Linked DNA regions of Oryzias latipes. The main gene of each other region encodes a partner of the protein of the gene in region 2 in a complex. Links are inferred from orthologs where the notes say so. Each region holds a gene or a part of one and is shown on either strand. Other genes may lie near its edges. The genes, in order: fdx1l, ndufab1 and lyrm4.

Region 1 (5,107 bases), on a different chromosome or scaffold from region 2:
TTTAACACAAATTGTCTTCATATTCCAGAAGGAGGAAGAGAAGGAATCTTTGTCATGACTCTAGCCATAACACCCGTCTGTTTATCTGTATACTCTGGTCACATGTTCAAAAGATTCTTTATCAAAATGAATCTTCCTCTGCTACACCAAAAAAAAAGTATAATAGGGGCTCAGGCTCACGTCTCTAGAGCATGGAGCTCTGGAGACATACTGTATTTAGCACCAGCCAGCTGCTATGAAGACATATATGATCATCAGTACAGTGTGGATTAATATTAAGCAGGAGTCAATCTGAATGAAAGATCAATCAATCCCCGTTGTTAAGAAAGAAAAACAGGTGGATGAAATGTGGGTTCAAACAAGCGCTCTTAACCAGTGGCATAAACAGGTTTAGACAAGTCAAAGCTGCAACCTGGATCAAACACTTATGTAACGTACACAGTGTGTTTGGCAAACGTGTTTCATTTTTAATATCAGTGTGTGTAAATGAACAAAATTGGCTTATCTGGAGTTTGTCATGTAAAATTACCTTAAAATACATTTAGAAACATTTGTTTCTTTAACTCACTTTGAGTGTTTTTACCTAATCTGGTTTATTTGTTCTTTTGTTTTTGTAGTTCATCTAATTTAACCTTAACTATGGTTTCAGTGACAGTGAGGAGAACAGAACCACTGTTTTGTTAAAACAATCGGAACCATCTTAAGCTAAACATTTGGAAAACTTTTGTATAAGACCACTTTAAACCATTGAAAATGATTGGTTCTTTGTAAATGAATAAATACAAATATAAGGAAGGCCTAGGACTTTTATACAATAATTTAAGCTTTTAAGCCATTATGTATTAACCATTTTAATGTGTAATGTGTAGCAATAATCAATGGTTTAGTGTGATAATGTGTTCTAATGATGATCAATGATTATTGGTTGCCCAAAGTGTGAATCATTAATGTTAATGATGTAAGAATTCTTTCTGAGGATAATCAATATGTAGTCGATTTTGTGACTTGATAACTTGATCTACAATGTGTAGCAATGATATCTGGATGAATATGAAATTGTATTCTGATTATAATCAATGAGTATTACATAACTGTGACATAGTGTGTGATTCATGTTACCGTTTACTGACATCATGTTTTCTGAAGATCATCAATCATTAATAATCACCTGATTTTTTTATTTGAAAAGAATCTATCTGATCAGAAGCGGATTACAAAATTCATGCAAAGTTAAAAAAATGAATTAACTCAGTAGGGGTGGGATTATAGAGGCACGCTTGTTCCCACTCCTTTTCAAGCAATAAATCAAGCTCTTCTTGACTTTAGTTAATGATCACTGTATTGGATTAAGCAAATGTGACTTAAGTGGGTCTTTGTTTTTGTCCTTTTTTGTAATGTATGCATTTCATCATCATACTTAATTATTTCTGTAATAACTTATATAAATCTGTGTGTTTTGTTTGTATTGACTACAATTAATGCTTGAAATAAATCAAATCAAACTCACATTTAATCACTGTGCATTGTTAGTTAACTTGATATGTAAAGTGTGCAAATTATTATTTCTGTATACCTTAATTAAGTGTTGATTTTTTTAAACCATTTTGATGCCTTAATTTAAAAAATATATATGACTTTATTTTGATGAATTGATAAGAAAACAATGTATAAATTGATCCGAATCGATATCCGAGTTTTTGGGTTTGTTATGAAAATTAATTCAGATAAAAGTCAAACACAAGCGCCCCCTGCTGTCAGAAAAGCAAATCACAGAAGAAATGTCAACGTTTTTGTCACTATTTTCCTATTGGCTACTATCAGTCATGTGACCAAAACACAGCGATGGCGGCGTCCGCTGCAGTTCGGACGAGCATGGGGCTGACTTTGAGGTTGTCTCGAGTTATTCCAGATTGTAGCACGTGCCCATTTTACAGATTAAAGAGCTGTGGGAACAGCAGCGCCAGTTTACAAAGGAGGGGCTCTTTTGACAGTTTCCGGACCACAAACCGACATTTACAGACGACCATAGGTGAGTGTGGTGCAGCTTGCTAACGGTTAGCTTCAGTCAGAAACTCCCTGCGTTTACTACTTATAATTTAAAATTAGTAATTTAACATAAATAAATAAAAAGTGATTCAGAATGCTGGCTATTATTGGTGTCCACTTGTTTGGTTTGGTTTTATAGTGCTATAACTATAGCAGAAAAAACATCTTCGTGCCAGTTGTGTAATTTTGCCATCATGCCATCATCTCCTTGAAACTCCATTATGTCAGAGGTCAAATGTTCCCGTAGGTGTGTTATGTGAATCAAAATCACCTGTCACGGGGTTTAGACGAAATCTAAAGGCAGTTCATAATTAATTTAAACCAGAGATACCTTCCTTAGTCTAATAATTATTGATGGATGTGCACAATAGGGTAATACTTATACAAGTGCATGAATAATAATGTGCCATTTCTATACCATGTAGCATTCTAATTCTTTATTTGGTTTGATTTTACAATGTTTACATACCTACATGGTTGTGGACCCACTATGTTTAACAATTTCACTTGTGAAAACTTTTTAAATTTTTTTTTTACTCCATTGTACATTTTTGTATCAGGGAGATCCAGAGTTAGACTAATATTTTGTGTTCAAAAACTTCTGAAAAATCAATCACTCAAATTTTTTTCAATACCAGCTAGCACATTTTGGTGGAAAAAACCTTCTATAACTTATAGAATTTCCATTTTATAGAGTAAAGACTCTGATGGGTCATCATGACAAGCAAAATCTAAAGTGACACCTTTTTATTTTTTCCTGATCGGTTTCTTAATCTTGGAGATACATGGATGCATGTTTTAAAGGATTTCCGAGGTGCACCCCTCCTCCTTTTTGTGTGTAGAAGGTGCTGTACATCATATAACGTAAAAGTGCTGTTTTCTGAATCTAGCCTCTAACATTTTTGTTGGTATTTTAAAGGTCTTTGTAGGGAAGAGGACAGCTCTACTGCAGAGGACCCAGAGGAAGTGTAAGTGTGATTATTATTTTTTTTATGTGGGTGAGATTATTAAAGTCACTTTGATCATATTTAATCCAGTTTCAAATCGTTCTCAGCTTTCTTTACCTTATGATTATGCTGTTTTTAGCCAAAAATGAAAACGCCTGTGTCGTTTTCTAGGACATAGTTTCTGCAGGGTGGCAGTAGTTGATTAGAAACTCACATCTGAGTTGTTGCAATTTGAAGCTTCACTTTCTTTAAATGCATGTCCTCCATCATGAGAAAAAATGCCAAAAAGAGATGCTAAAAAACACCACTTAAAAAAAAAATCTGTGTTTTTTTTTAATGACAAAGCACTGACTCGGACTAGACCTGCAGTGAGGACTTGATTCAAATGGGACATTTATGACAGAAAAAAAAAAAACAAGACAATGGTAAAATCTTTAAACCTTCTGATTTTTTTCGGGGGACAGATAACCTTTTTTGTTCCATGAAAGGAATGTTACATCATGGAATGATTTATCCCAAATACCTGTAATCAGAAACTTAAATTGTCCACCGAGAAGTACACTTTTGTCTTTTATGACTATGCTATTTTGCCCAAAGCAGGTTAAGTATGTTTTACTTATTTTGGATGATTGTTACTTATTTATTTTTTAAAAAGGGACTCTTGTTTCCAAGATCTAAATGTTTTTAAATGTCTTCTTGTGTGCATTCAGAGTCAACGTGGTGTACATAGACCGGTCTGGCCGGAGGATTCCGGTGAAGGCCAAAGTTGGAGATAATGTTCTTTATTTGGCTCACAAACACGGAATTCATCTGGAAGGTAGGAGTCGATCAAGCCGATGAATCCACGCTCTTCAAATTGTTCCCTAACCTTTGGTGTTGTGTTTAGGAGCTTGTGAGGCATCCCTGGCCTGTTCGACATGCCATGTTTATGTGAGCGACGCCCATTTTGACAAACTGCCGGAGCCTGAAGAGAGGTCTGTCGGCTGCACCGCACAGAGTAAAAATTGCGATTTGAAATAAAAGTTGACTGGGAATTTGGTTTTTTAGGGAGGATGACATGCTCGACATGGCGCCCATGCTTCAAGAGACCTCCCGGCTGGGGTGTCAGATCGTTCTCACTCCAGAACTCGATGGCATTGAGCTGACCCTTCCCAAAATCACCAGGAACTTCTATGTGGACGGTCACGTTCCAAAGCCTCACTGAATCAAGGGACCCAACATGGAAACTGAGGATTCTGAGGCTAAAATGCAGGGGTTGCTGTGAGAAAGACCGATGGACGACCGCGTTTGAGAGCCACTGAAAAAGGCAGAAGGAAGAAAGTATGGTCCATAGCTTCTCTCAACACGATTCGCCAACTGACAAGATTCTGCAGTTTTAATGTCAGGATAGTTGGACACTACGTATCTTCTGAGGTGACATAAATGGTTATATGCAAAAAAAAGAGAAGTGATGAACTGATAAAGCATCTGTTTGTATCTCAGGCCATCTTACAGACATCCTCTGAGACTGGTCACTGTTGAAACCACGCACACTGCCGAGCATATCCAGTCTCCGCACTGCAGGATGGAGCATTCCTTGTTACAGCTTCTATACGCACAAATGTTGCAGGATGTCGACCGGTTCATTTGTGTCCTGGTCCACTCGTTGTAGCAATCTCCTCATGTGTTACATTCATTTAAAAGCAGCGTTTTAACAAAGTACCCTCACATCACCGCTGGTTTCCTGCTGTTGGCTTTTTAAGCCAGACAAAAGAAGCCATAAAGACGCATATTCCATTCATTAAAGCGGAATCTCCACAATCCAGAATTTACAAAGTAGAAACTTCTAACATTTCAAAACGACGACAGTACTGTGTGGGCTGGGGATGAGATTTTTCTTTCCTTTCAGCTGAAGGTGATTAAGATTTTGAGTAAACCAGTTTCAGGTGTTTGGATCCAAAGCAGGAAGCTGGTAGGCTTCACTTTACCACTTTACTCTCCTGCAGACGGTACCGCAGTCGTTTTGTGCAAAAATCAAGATGTGTCTTAATTGCAAACATTTAAAGTTGTGCAATAAAATTATGCTGAAATAAAAGAGAGCTCTAAACACCAGGGGTCTGACTCAAAATGGTTCT
Region 2 (4,915 bases):
TATATATATATATATATATGCTCTGAAGAAACTGTCCTAGACTATGATGTGTTTGATTTAGCTAAAAATTGCATAATCACAAGACCACTGGGAACGCTTTAAAAAGATTATGAAAACATTCTGAAATGGTCAGACTAGAAGAACATTTGGACAATTTGAATTGTGCTTTTTAAATCTGGCTTAAGTTGGTACATGGGTGCAGCAGAAAAAAAAACTTACCCTTGTGCTTAGATGACCCCACCCTTACATTGACGTGTTCTCCCTTCCATGACAAAGGTAGAAATAGTTCATGACACCAGTGAAGACCACAAATCATTAAAGAAAAAAGGTTCAGCGCACTTTTTAGCGGGTCTACATGACCCAACTCCCAACGTTAAAGTGCCTAGGATAGCACAAGGGTTAATCGAATCAAATAAGCTAATGGCATTACAAAAAAAGTAATGAATCCATCATCCCCTGAGTGTTCCTACTCAAAGATATGACAATCTTTCAATCATTAAGGATTATGCTCCAAGAGTGAAGCAGAAGTCTTCCTCTAACTGTTGCCTCAGAATTGGACAGATTTACTTGTTGCTGTGACATCTTTGGAAAAAAAAATAGTTCTTAGATACCCAAGATTTGCAGTTTTGCAATTTTGAAAATTCAGTTTTTGTCAACTGCTTTTGCACTTTATAATAACTTGTAACTGAATAAATGTACAGAGACACCAATTGTTTTTATTGATCTATTATGAAATTATACATCAGAACCATGGGAGCATGAAGAAAAAAAACCTAAAACATGGTTTTTCTTTAATTCCTCTGATGGCCCCAAAACATTTAAATACACACAAAGTGACTCAAACTTTGATGGTTGGGCAGAGGTGGGAAAGCGCCACCGGTACTTCCTGTGTAGGGAATGGGAAAAGAAATCTAATCAGACTCTGTCGGAGTGCAATCGAACAATGACAGGGAGGACACCTGCCTTTGAGATGTAAAGCAGATTATTCATAAACGTCTTTCTTGTCTGCGATGTACTGTACAATCTCCTCTGGAGTCATCAACTTCTCTGCCTCGGCGTCTGGGATCTCGAAGCCTGAAAGACCGACAAGAACGCTGAGTCAGTATGAATGTAATTGTGTAAACATAGCGCCGTTTCCATTGACTATGAAATTGAGAAATTGGATTTGTGATCCGAAATTTGCCTAATGGAAACTATTTTGAAAAAACATGTACATATCAAAAAAAGAAAAATGTTTTTGAGGTGGATTTTGAGGCATATAGAAATTGACATTTCGCAAAACTGTAATGGGAACTTGTTTTGAATTAAATGAGTCGGATACATTTCAGAGTGAATATGTCAATCACTTCTGTTGCCATGGCGGAAGAAATCATAAAAGACAGAAAATTAGGGAGGTTGCAAGGCTGATCTGTCTGAGCCAGTTGCATATGTCAGTTGTTCAGTTCAAAAAAAGATTTTTTGTGTTTGGTTCTGAGTTAAAACTAGATAAGAAAAAATTCCCTTGATTGCAACAGGAGCGTTGGAATAGACTGACATATACTTAAAAAATCTGCTTTTATGGCATATGAGTGAGTCACAGCACTTATGATGGTTACCGGTACCCTGAATCTCAATGGTAACTGGATCATCTTTTTTCATCCAGGTCTTTCAATAACAAAAATCCGATTTAAACATCAATCCTCTCATTTTCCATGTAGATTTATCGTGCATTTTCTGAAGTTGCTGCAGTAAAGGTCAACTCACCAAATTCATCCTCCATTGCCATTATGATCTCCACCTGGTCCAAGCTGTCCAATCCCAAGTCTTTCATGAAGTGGGAGGAGGTCTGCAGCTGGGGCACAGATTTAGTATAATTTCAGTTTACAAACAGGTCTCTCACAGTGTCCCATAACAGAGCTTTCATAATTTCCTATCTGCACATAAATGGAAAGATTCTGCAGATGTGTACGTTTCTGCCCACCTTCTCTGGGTTGATCTTGTCATAGAGCTTCAGTACATACATGACACGTTCTTTGATGGTTTCTAAGGTGAGGGGGGGCAGGTCACCATACTGTCGGCAAAACACACCCACTGAGATCTGAACGAGAAAGGAAAACAGGACGTAAGAGAGAAAAGACCAAAGCAAGAAGTTATGACCAAAGACATGTTAAGTCAGAAATTAACTTAAATCTGAGATTTTCTTTAGTTTTTTTTGTGAGTTAAAAGTGTAATAAACTAATATTTTGTTTCAATAAGCGATAGGAGTTCAAAAAAAAATTCACAGATAACAGATTTTTTTATTAGATATAAAATGTTAATAATTTTGTTTGATTAAAAAATGGTTTTCTTCACCAGCTAAAGTACTGAATGAGGAGAAGACAAGAGTTTTGGTTAAACAAAGAAGTTTAACTAAAGGTAAACAAATTTAGATTTGATCAATCATGATTTGTTGGTAAATAATTCAATGCCGTTTCAAATTCCAGACAATGCATTCACAGATTACATCATAAACAGATGTAGAACTAGATTCAAGTTAAAAAAATACTGGAGTTTTTTCACTAAGCTAACAGAAAAAGCAAAACAAACGTGTTTCCACAGCGCGTTGCATACATTTGACACTAGTGCTACAATACATTTCACATAATATGTCTCCATCATCATACAATGCAAAGGTGGGATGAAAAATAAATTCAAATTAAAGTCTTTGCAGGAAACACGCTAAAAAACCAAACACAAATGTTGACTGTCATTGAACTTGCTAACCTGCTAGCCTATCATGCTATATAACAATCCAGCAAAAAGTGACGCGCATTGCGGTTTACTGTAAAACACGGCCTCGCCCGGTGTCGTCATTTCACCTAACTGATACAAGTCCAAGTGGGTGGAAAATAAAATCTAGAAAAACAGCATTTAAAGGTCATTTCAGTGGTGGAGTTTTGAAAGACATCGGTAGGTCAAGCTCCAAGTGCTAGGCCACGACTGTTCATGGTAGCAGGGACTCACCCGGCTCTGACCAAACAATCGCGTCCTCGGGCTCTCTGCAGCGAAGGACAGAGGTCGGTGGATGAAAACTGCCGGAGTGGCAGTGGCTCTGACTGCTACATTACGCGTGCAAAGCCTCAACGAGGGCCGTGCGAACGAGCGGACACACTGCTGCAGGACACGAGCCGCCATGACGAAAGGGATCCAGCAGAGGATGAGCAATGTGCAAAGCGTAGAAGAAGAACGCAGTCAATGGCTTCACAGTACGCATGCGCATAACATAACAAGTATTTTATCTATATCTAAAAAAAAGCTTATACGTAAGTTTGTGTGTGTGTGTGTGTGTGGGTGTGTGGGTGTACATACACACACTGACACGCACGCTTTTTAAAAAAAAAAAAACAATATAATCATGCTTAGTTCACGTTGTGTATAAATTTCTACATTTGTTCAAAATGTATTGAAAATCAAAATATGTAACAATGAAAGTATCAAGTACCATACAAACCATCAGGCAAAAACAGTCAATCACAGAACTTCTGTTTAACCTTGAAGTTCAAAGCACTGGTTCTGAGCAGGTTTAGTTCAAGGTTAGTTTGTTTTCAGAGAGGTGAAGCAGCATGGCATGTCCATTTGAAGATGATTTAGTGGATGAAAAAGCTCAGATAATACTTTTTTTCCACCATGAAAGGGTGATAAGACCATTTATGGGTGTTGGAAAGATAAACTTTTTTACATTGATCTAACTTAATTATTTGCTTCAGTTAAGATAAATCGTTTTTTTAAGTTAAGTCGGCTTAAAAATAACACGTAGTTATCAGACAGTTATTTTACTTTCATTCAAATTAATTCAGTTAAGTAGGTGTAACTTTGGGGCAGCTTAGGAGACAGCTTAGCTCGTGCTGGTTTGCAGCACCTTCCGTCTGTGAAACCAGAGTTCGAATTCGGACTGCTCCCTATTCCCTTCTCTGCTTCTATGCTGGTCCCAAGCCCGGTTTGATTGAAAGGGTTACGTCAGGAGGGGCATCCAGCGTAAAACATTCCCAAGTTAACCTCAAAAGACAGGTTGTTTTGCTGTGGCGACTCCTGATGGGAAAAAGCCAAAAGAAGAAGAACTTGGTGCTGCTAGATCGGCACCGCAAGGAATTGTAGGATACCATTCCCTTTGCCTGTCTGGACGGATTTGGGTTTAAGTGTGGGGTTTTGATCAAATGTGTTTAGCTGTTTTACTGTGTTTTACCTAGTTATTTATCCTGTTATGTTTAATTCTTTCTGCACCATGAGTGAGAGGGAAGGAGAGGATGATGAGTTTATTTAGCAGCCCTACTTCTAATTGGTGTATAATTAAAGTCAGAGAAATGATAAATAACATGTTACATATAGCAAAAAACTGGTGTTTCTTTCATTTTATTGTTATAAAAATGAGAATAACTGCAGGCTCAAACTTAGACATGTGAAAGTTCAAGAAGTACAATAAATTAAGATGGAAAAACATTTAATTGAATTCAAGTAATATGGCATTTAGTTAGATAAATATGTAAATTTGAGTTGTAAAAAAATATTGAGGCTGTGTCCGAATTACCGCCCTAACCCCTAACTACTAAAACCCTATATAGTGCGGCACTATATAGTTCTCTATATAGTTCTCTGAATTTTTTTAGCAATTCGGACACCCGTGCTCACTAGTTTCCTCTTTCGGGTGTTTTCGAATGGCGCTAGGCACCAAAACAAAGTGGCGCATTACCGCCACCACCTGGTCTGGAGGGGTACTACTTCTATTTGACGCCGAGAATGACACCCATTTGTCAAAGTAAAAATATAATAAATATGAACATTTTATGAATCTGCTGTTTTCTGATCATGGAAAACGTGGCTGATTTATAAATAATAAGATTACAAACACATTGGTGTAGATTTTATGTATTTGCTGATAAATAAACCCTCATGTCATTAG
Region 3 (3,961 bases), on a different chromosome or scaffold from region 2:
GAGTTCTACTTGGTAATCATGTTTCCAAGTTTGAGTTCATAAAATCATCCCAGAGAAAGTCTCTGCTTCAACTCCCGCAGGGAAAGCTGCGTCTGAATCTGACGCCCGTATTTCCATCTCTCTGACAGTTTAAAGCCAACTGCAGCCAATAGCCCCTCCCCCGCCTCTCTACCTGCTTTTCCTCTCTACCTGTTCACATCCTCTGTAGCTCAGAGTTGTTTTCCCCCGCGCTCCTCCTGTGTCCAACACAGAGAGCGCTAAATACGGTCATCATAGCAGCAGGTTGACACGGTAGTAGTCGGGGCGCTTTGGCGCAAGCGCAGCACAAGGATGGAAGAGGTTATACATAGGTTATAGCGGGTTAAGAAAATGAATGGAAGAAGGCCGGTTCGCTGAAGAAATATTCAATGCTGTACTCCTTTTATTAATAGTCTGAACTATCTTTGATTTTGAGAAATGTTTTATTTTGAAAAATCACCGCATCGGGTACTTAATCAGTCCAGTAGGGGAAAAAATCTACAAAAGCTGTATATTGTTGTTTCTCCCAGTCATAGATAGATTAGATACAAAAGTTAGTCTGGAGCCCTGACACACACATACTCATTCTACAACACCTATATAGTTAGTTCATTAGTTAGTTATTTGTTACTGTTATTTGTTAATGAAGAATACTGCGTTGTAATTATTACTTGTACCGGTATTCAATTGCAACGCTGCGGGGGGGGGGGGGGGGGGGGGGGGGTATTGACCGCGAGTCCTGCTGCGAAGACGGGGTTTCTTAATTGAATTAAAACCTTAGACCCCAGATATGAGCTGCATTGTTAATCCTTTAGATAATGGTGCTACTGTTGAGGTGAATGTTTGTCTCCTTTTAGTCTAAACTACAAAGTGTGACTTAAAACACAGCTGGGACTTTAAATTAAATAACCTTTTTATTTTGGACAAGTGAAAACAAGTGTAGAATAACAAGAGAAGACAAAATTTATATAAAACAAGAAAATTATATAAAACAACACAAGTGCAAAAGGGAGAGAGAAGAAGAAAAATCTTATACTTTGATTCCAAGAGTGTGTTCATTTATTTATTATTCATACCAGAAATGGGGGTTACATTTGTCTTGCTTTTGATTAAATAAAAGCAAAATTTGCTTTAAGTTGTCTGCAGTTTGTACTTATTGCTTCCCTTAAGTGTGTGTATGTATGGGGGGGTGGAAATCGAATAAAAAAATCATATCGCCCAGCCCTAATGGAAGGCCGAAGAGGCCGTTGACCAGGCCATCAGCAAGCTTAAACACAACGAAGCCGTGGGAAGGATGTGGTCAGGAAGAGCCGGCTTAGGCTGGGGAACAGCCCCCAAGTTCTGGTCCAAAGCCACAAGAAGGGAGAGGAAAGAGCTGGTGTGATTGAAGAGGTGACCAGGAGCGAGGAAAAGTAATGCAAGCTCAAAGCACTCAGCCAGCCACAACAAGGGCGACTACAAAATCGGAGTCCCTAATTGGTCAAAGTTTGACCTGGTTAAGGTTAGAGTTAACTTTAAAAACACATTCAGCGGGTGCGCATTTTGTACATAGAGCCCAACAACGGTTGTAGAAACTTTCGTAGCAACAAGTGAATGAGAGAATTTTGAAAGTGTGCTGCTGAGGTGGTGTGAACGTAGCTCGAGTGGCAAATTACCATCACAAGTGTAAACAGGAGGTCATGAAGGACTACAGCACCTTCAAACAACAGATATGGGATTCCAAAATAATAAAACAGAAATATAGTCCATAAGAGTCCCAGACAGAATAGATGACTAATAGCTTTTATGTACGTATCCCACATCATGAGTTTCACATGAAGACTTTCCATCTGTCAATCACTCATCCAACACGAGGAGGATGACCTGTGGGGGTCTGAGCTCCTCTTAAGGAACATGTTTAACAACAGTCAAAGGGGGGGCAGAAGATGAATGACAGCAAAATAGCCACCATGAAAGGAGACAGCAGGAGATCAGAGATTATCAGCTCCGTCATGTGAGCTTGAAAAGTATTTTGAAAATGAATTCAATCATAGTCTGACTTATTTTGAAGTGATGTTCGAGGAGAGAGAATGCACTCAAAAGATGAAATAAAGTAGCTTCAGATTATCAGTAAAACGTGCAAAACAGAGTTCAGGTCTGTTTCCATAAACTCAAAACCTTTAAATAAAAAGGCTTCTGCATGATTAAAATTGAGATTAAGGCTTTTCAAAGTCGTTATGATCAACAAACTTTCAAAATAAGAGTCCCAAGAAAACAAAACCAGTCAACAATTTGTCAATAAAAACAAAGTTCTTATGAAATTATGAATGGCATTGATTGTACTTTATCATATTCTGCTATAGCATGGCATTACCAAACTCCATTGCTATTATTACCAACGTGCCTTCAAGTGATCATGAGGGAACACCTTAAAATAAGCTTTTTCATTATAATAACCCTGTATAATATTCCAAAGGGAAGAAATGTAATAATGAATAAGGTTAGTTTTGTAACACATGAACTGGTGCAGCAGCAGTCAGGAGAGTTTCGTAAACTCTGCAGCAGCTCATCAATGATCAAAACACAGGCGTTAGCAGGCACTTTCCTCCTTTGACAGCCGGAGCACAGCGGCCATGAGCCCCGCTGAACCCGGCTTCAGTCCGCCTCTTACCTGTAGTTGTAGGAAGGAAACCTGCTGCTCTCTTTCAGCATCATTCTGTACAAAGACAGCACCTGGGCTCGAGCAGACGCTGCCATGTTCATGCTACCGACGCTGTTCGGTCCCTGCGATGAAGGACCCTTACTTAAGAGCGACCAACTAGCGCCAGTTTAGAAATCCAAAGTCTAGGCTGTTTGTCATTATTTTCGTATGTTACATTATAATAAGTTTGATAAAAGAACGTCATTTATTAAATAACACACAGCATAAATATGCATATTTATTTTTGAAACATGTTCATAATCCAAGAGTCATGCAGGCGCGCTTCCGCATACCTCACAAGAGTTGAAAGCTGAAGTGTGACAGAAGGTGAGTTAGCATTGCTAATTTTAACCTCTAAAATATATTACTTATATAATAAGAAGACCTTTTCTAAGGTGTCGGTACAAAATTCGATATTATAGTGCAGGAATAAGAATCATTAATTGTGAAAATGTGTTGCTTGTCGGGTTTAAAAAGCTCCTTTTGTATTTGTGAGGTTCTGCAGCAGATCATACTTGACAACAGGCAGCTTCAGCTGTTGTCAGGTGTGTGTTTATGTGTGGGTGTGCACGCGCGAACGTGGGTCTTTTTTTAGGTCAGGGATTCTTTAACAGGAAGTGTGTGACCGCACAGAGTCCTGCTCTGGACCCTCCCTGTATGACCCTCTTGATCAGGACTGTCAATCTTTGGTCATTTGTTTATGTTTGGTAGTTTTATAAATACAACACAGCTAATAAGTCAGGGATATTATCATTTACATTCGGTTTCTCCTTTTTGGTTTGAATTTGAATGAAGTACGATAAAGTTACCTTTATTCATTCATCTTCTAAACCCGTTTTGCCCCTTTTGGGGTCACATGGCTGCCAGAGCCTTTCCCGGCCACTCGTGGGCGAAGGCAGGGGACACCCTGGACAGGTTGCCAGGGCCACAAATCACACACCATGCACACTCACATTCACACCTAGAGACATTTTAGAGAAGCTAATGTACCTATGAAGCATGTTTTTGGGTTTTTGGACTGTTGGAGGAAGCTGGAGTCCCCGGAGAAAACCCACACACGCACACACAGGGAGAACATGCAAACTCCACACTAAGTCCCCTTTAATATTACTAATAATGAATGAGATGAAACATCATTTTCATTAGTTTGATATTTATAACCCCAAAATTAAGCCAATAAAAAAGTATTAAATGGTGGGTATTTCCACCATTTGCCACTAGGGGTGTGACTATGGAGAGAAATTAGACTCAGTCGGATTTGTG

The links.
Region 1: ndufab1 (region 2) and fdx1l share a complex: the UniProt entries of both Homo sapiens proteins name them as parts of the mitochondrial core iron-sulfur cluster (ISC) complex. The link is inferred for Oryzias latipes from reciprocal best matches to the Homo sapiens genes NDUFAB1 and FDX2.
Region 3: the proteins of ndufab1 (region 2) and lyrm4 are in contact, whole or in part, in a crystal structure (PDB 6ODD), measured with the Homo sapiens proteins. The link is inferred for Oryzias latipes from reciprocal best matches to the Homo sapiens genes NDUFAB1 and LYRM4. Residues at the interface, in NP_004994.1 of Homo sapiens: Lys92, Asp111, Ser112, Leu113, Asp114, Val116, Glu117, Met120, Glu123, Asp124, Glu129, Ile130, Asp132; in NP_065141.3 of Homo sapiens: Arg6, Leu10, Ser11, Tyr13, Arg14, Leu17, Arg18, Lys21, Arg37, Phe40, Arg41, Lys44.

The regions. Positions count from the first base shown.
Region 1 is NC_019859.2:10,359,407-10,364,513, reverse strand, and holds fdx1l (ferredoxin-2, mitochondrial), read left to right. Parts: upstream 1-1,807; 5' UTR 1,808-1,842; coding exon 1,843-2,029; intron 2,030-2,965; coding exon 2,966-3,014; intron 3,015-3,703; coding exon 3,704-3,810; intron 3,811-3,879; coding exon 3,880-3,967; intron 3,968-4,040; coding exon 4,041-4,197; 3' UTR 4,198-5,084; downstream 5,085-5,107. UniProt on the Homo sapiens protein: Electron donor, of the core iron-sulfur cluster (ISC) assembly complex, that acts to reduce the persulfide into sulfide during [2Fe-2S] clusters assembly on the scaffolding protein ISCU.
Region 2 is NC_019866.2:17,746,426-17,751,340, forward strand, and holds ndufab1 (acyl carrier protein, mitochondrial), read right to left. Parts: upstream 3,212-4,915; 5' UTR 3,154-3,211; coding exon 2,983-3,153; intron 2,078-2,982; coding exon 1,961-2,077; intron 1,832-1,960; coding exon 1,744-1,831; intron 1,075-1,743; coding exon 983-1,074; 3' UTR 964-982; intron 887-963; 3' UTR 697-886; downstream 1-696. UniProt on the Homo sapiens protein: Carrier of the growing fatty acid chain in fatty acid biosynthesis.
Region 3 is NC_019878.2:3,839,205-3,843,165, forward strand, and holds the start of lyrm4 (LYR motif-containing protein 4), read right to left. Parts: upstream 2,801-3,961; 5' UTR 2,761-2,800; coding exon 2,669-2,760; intron 1-2,668.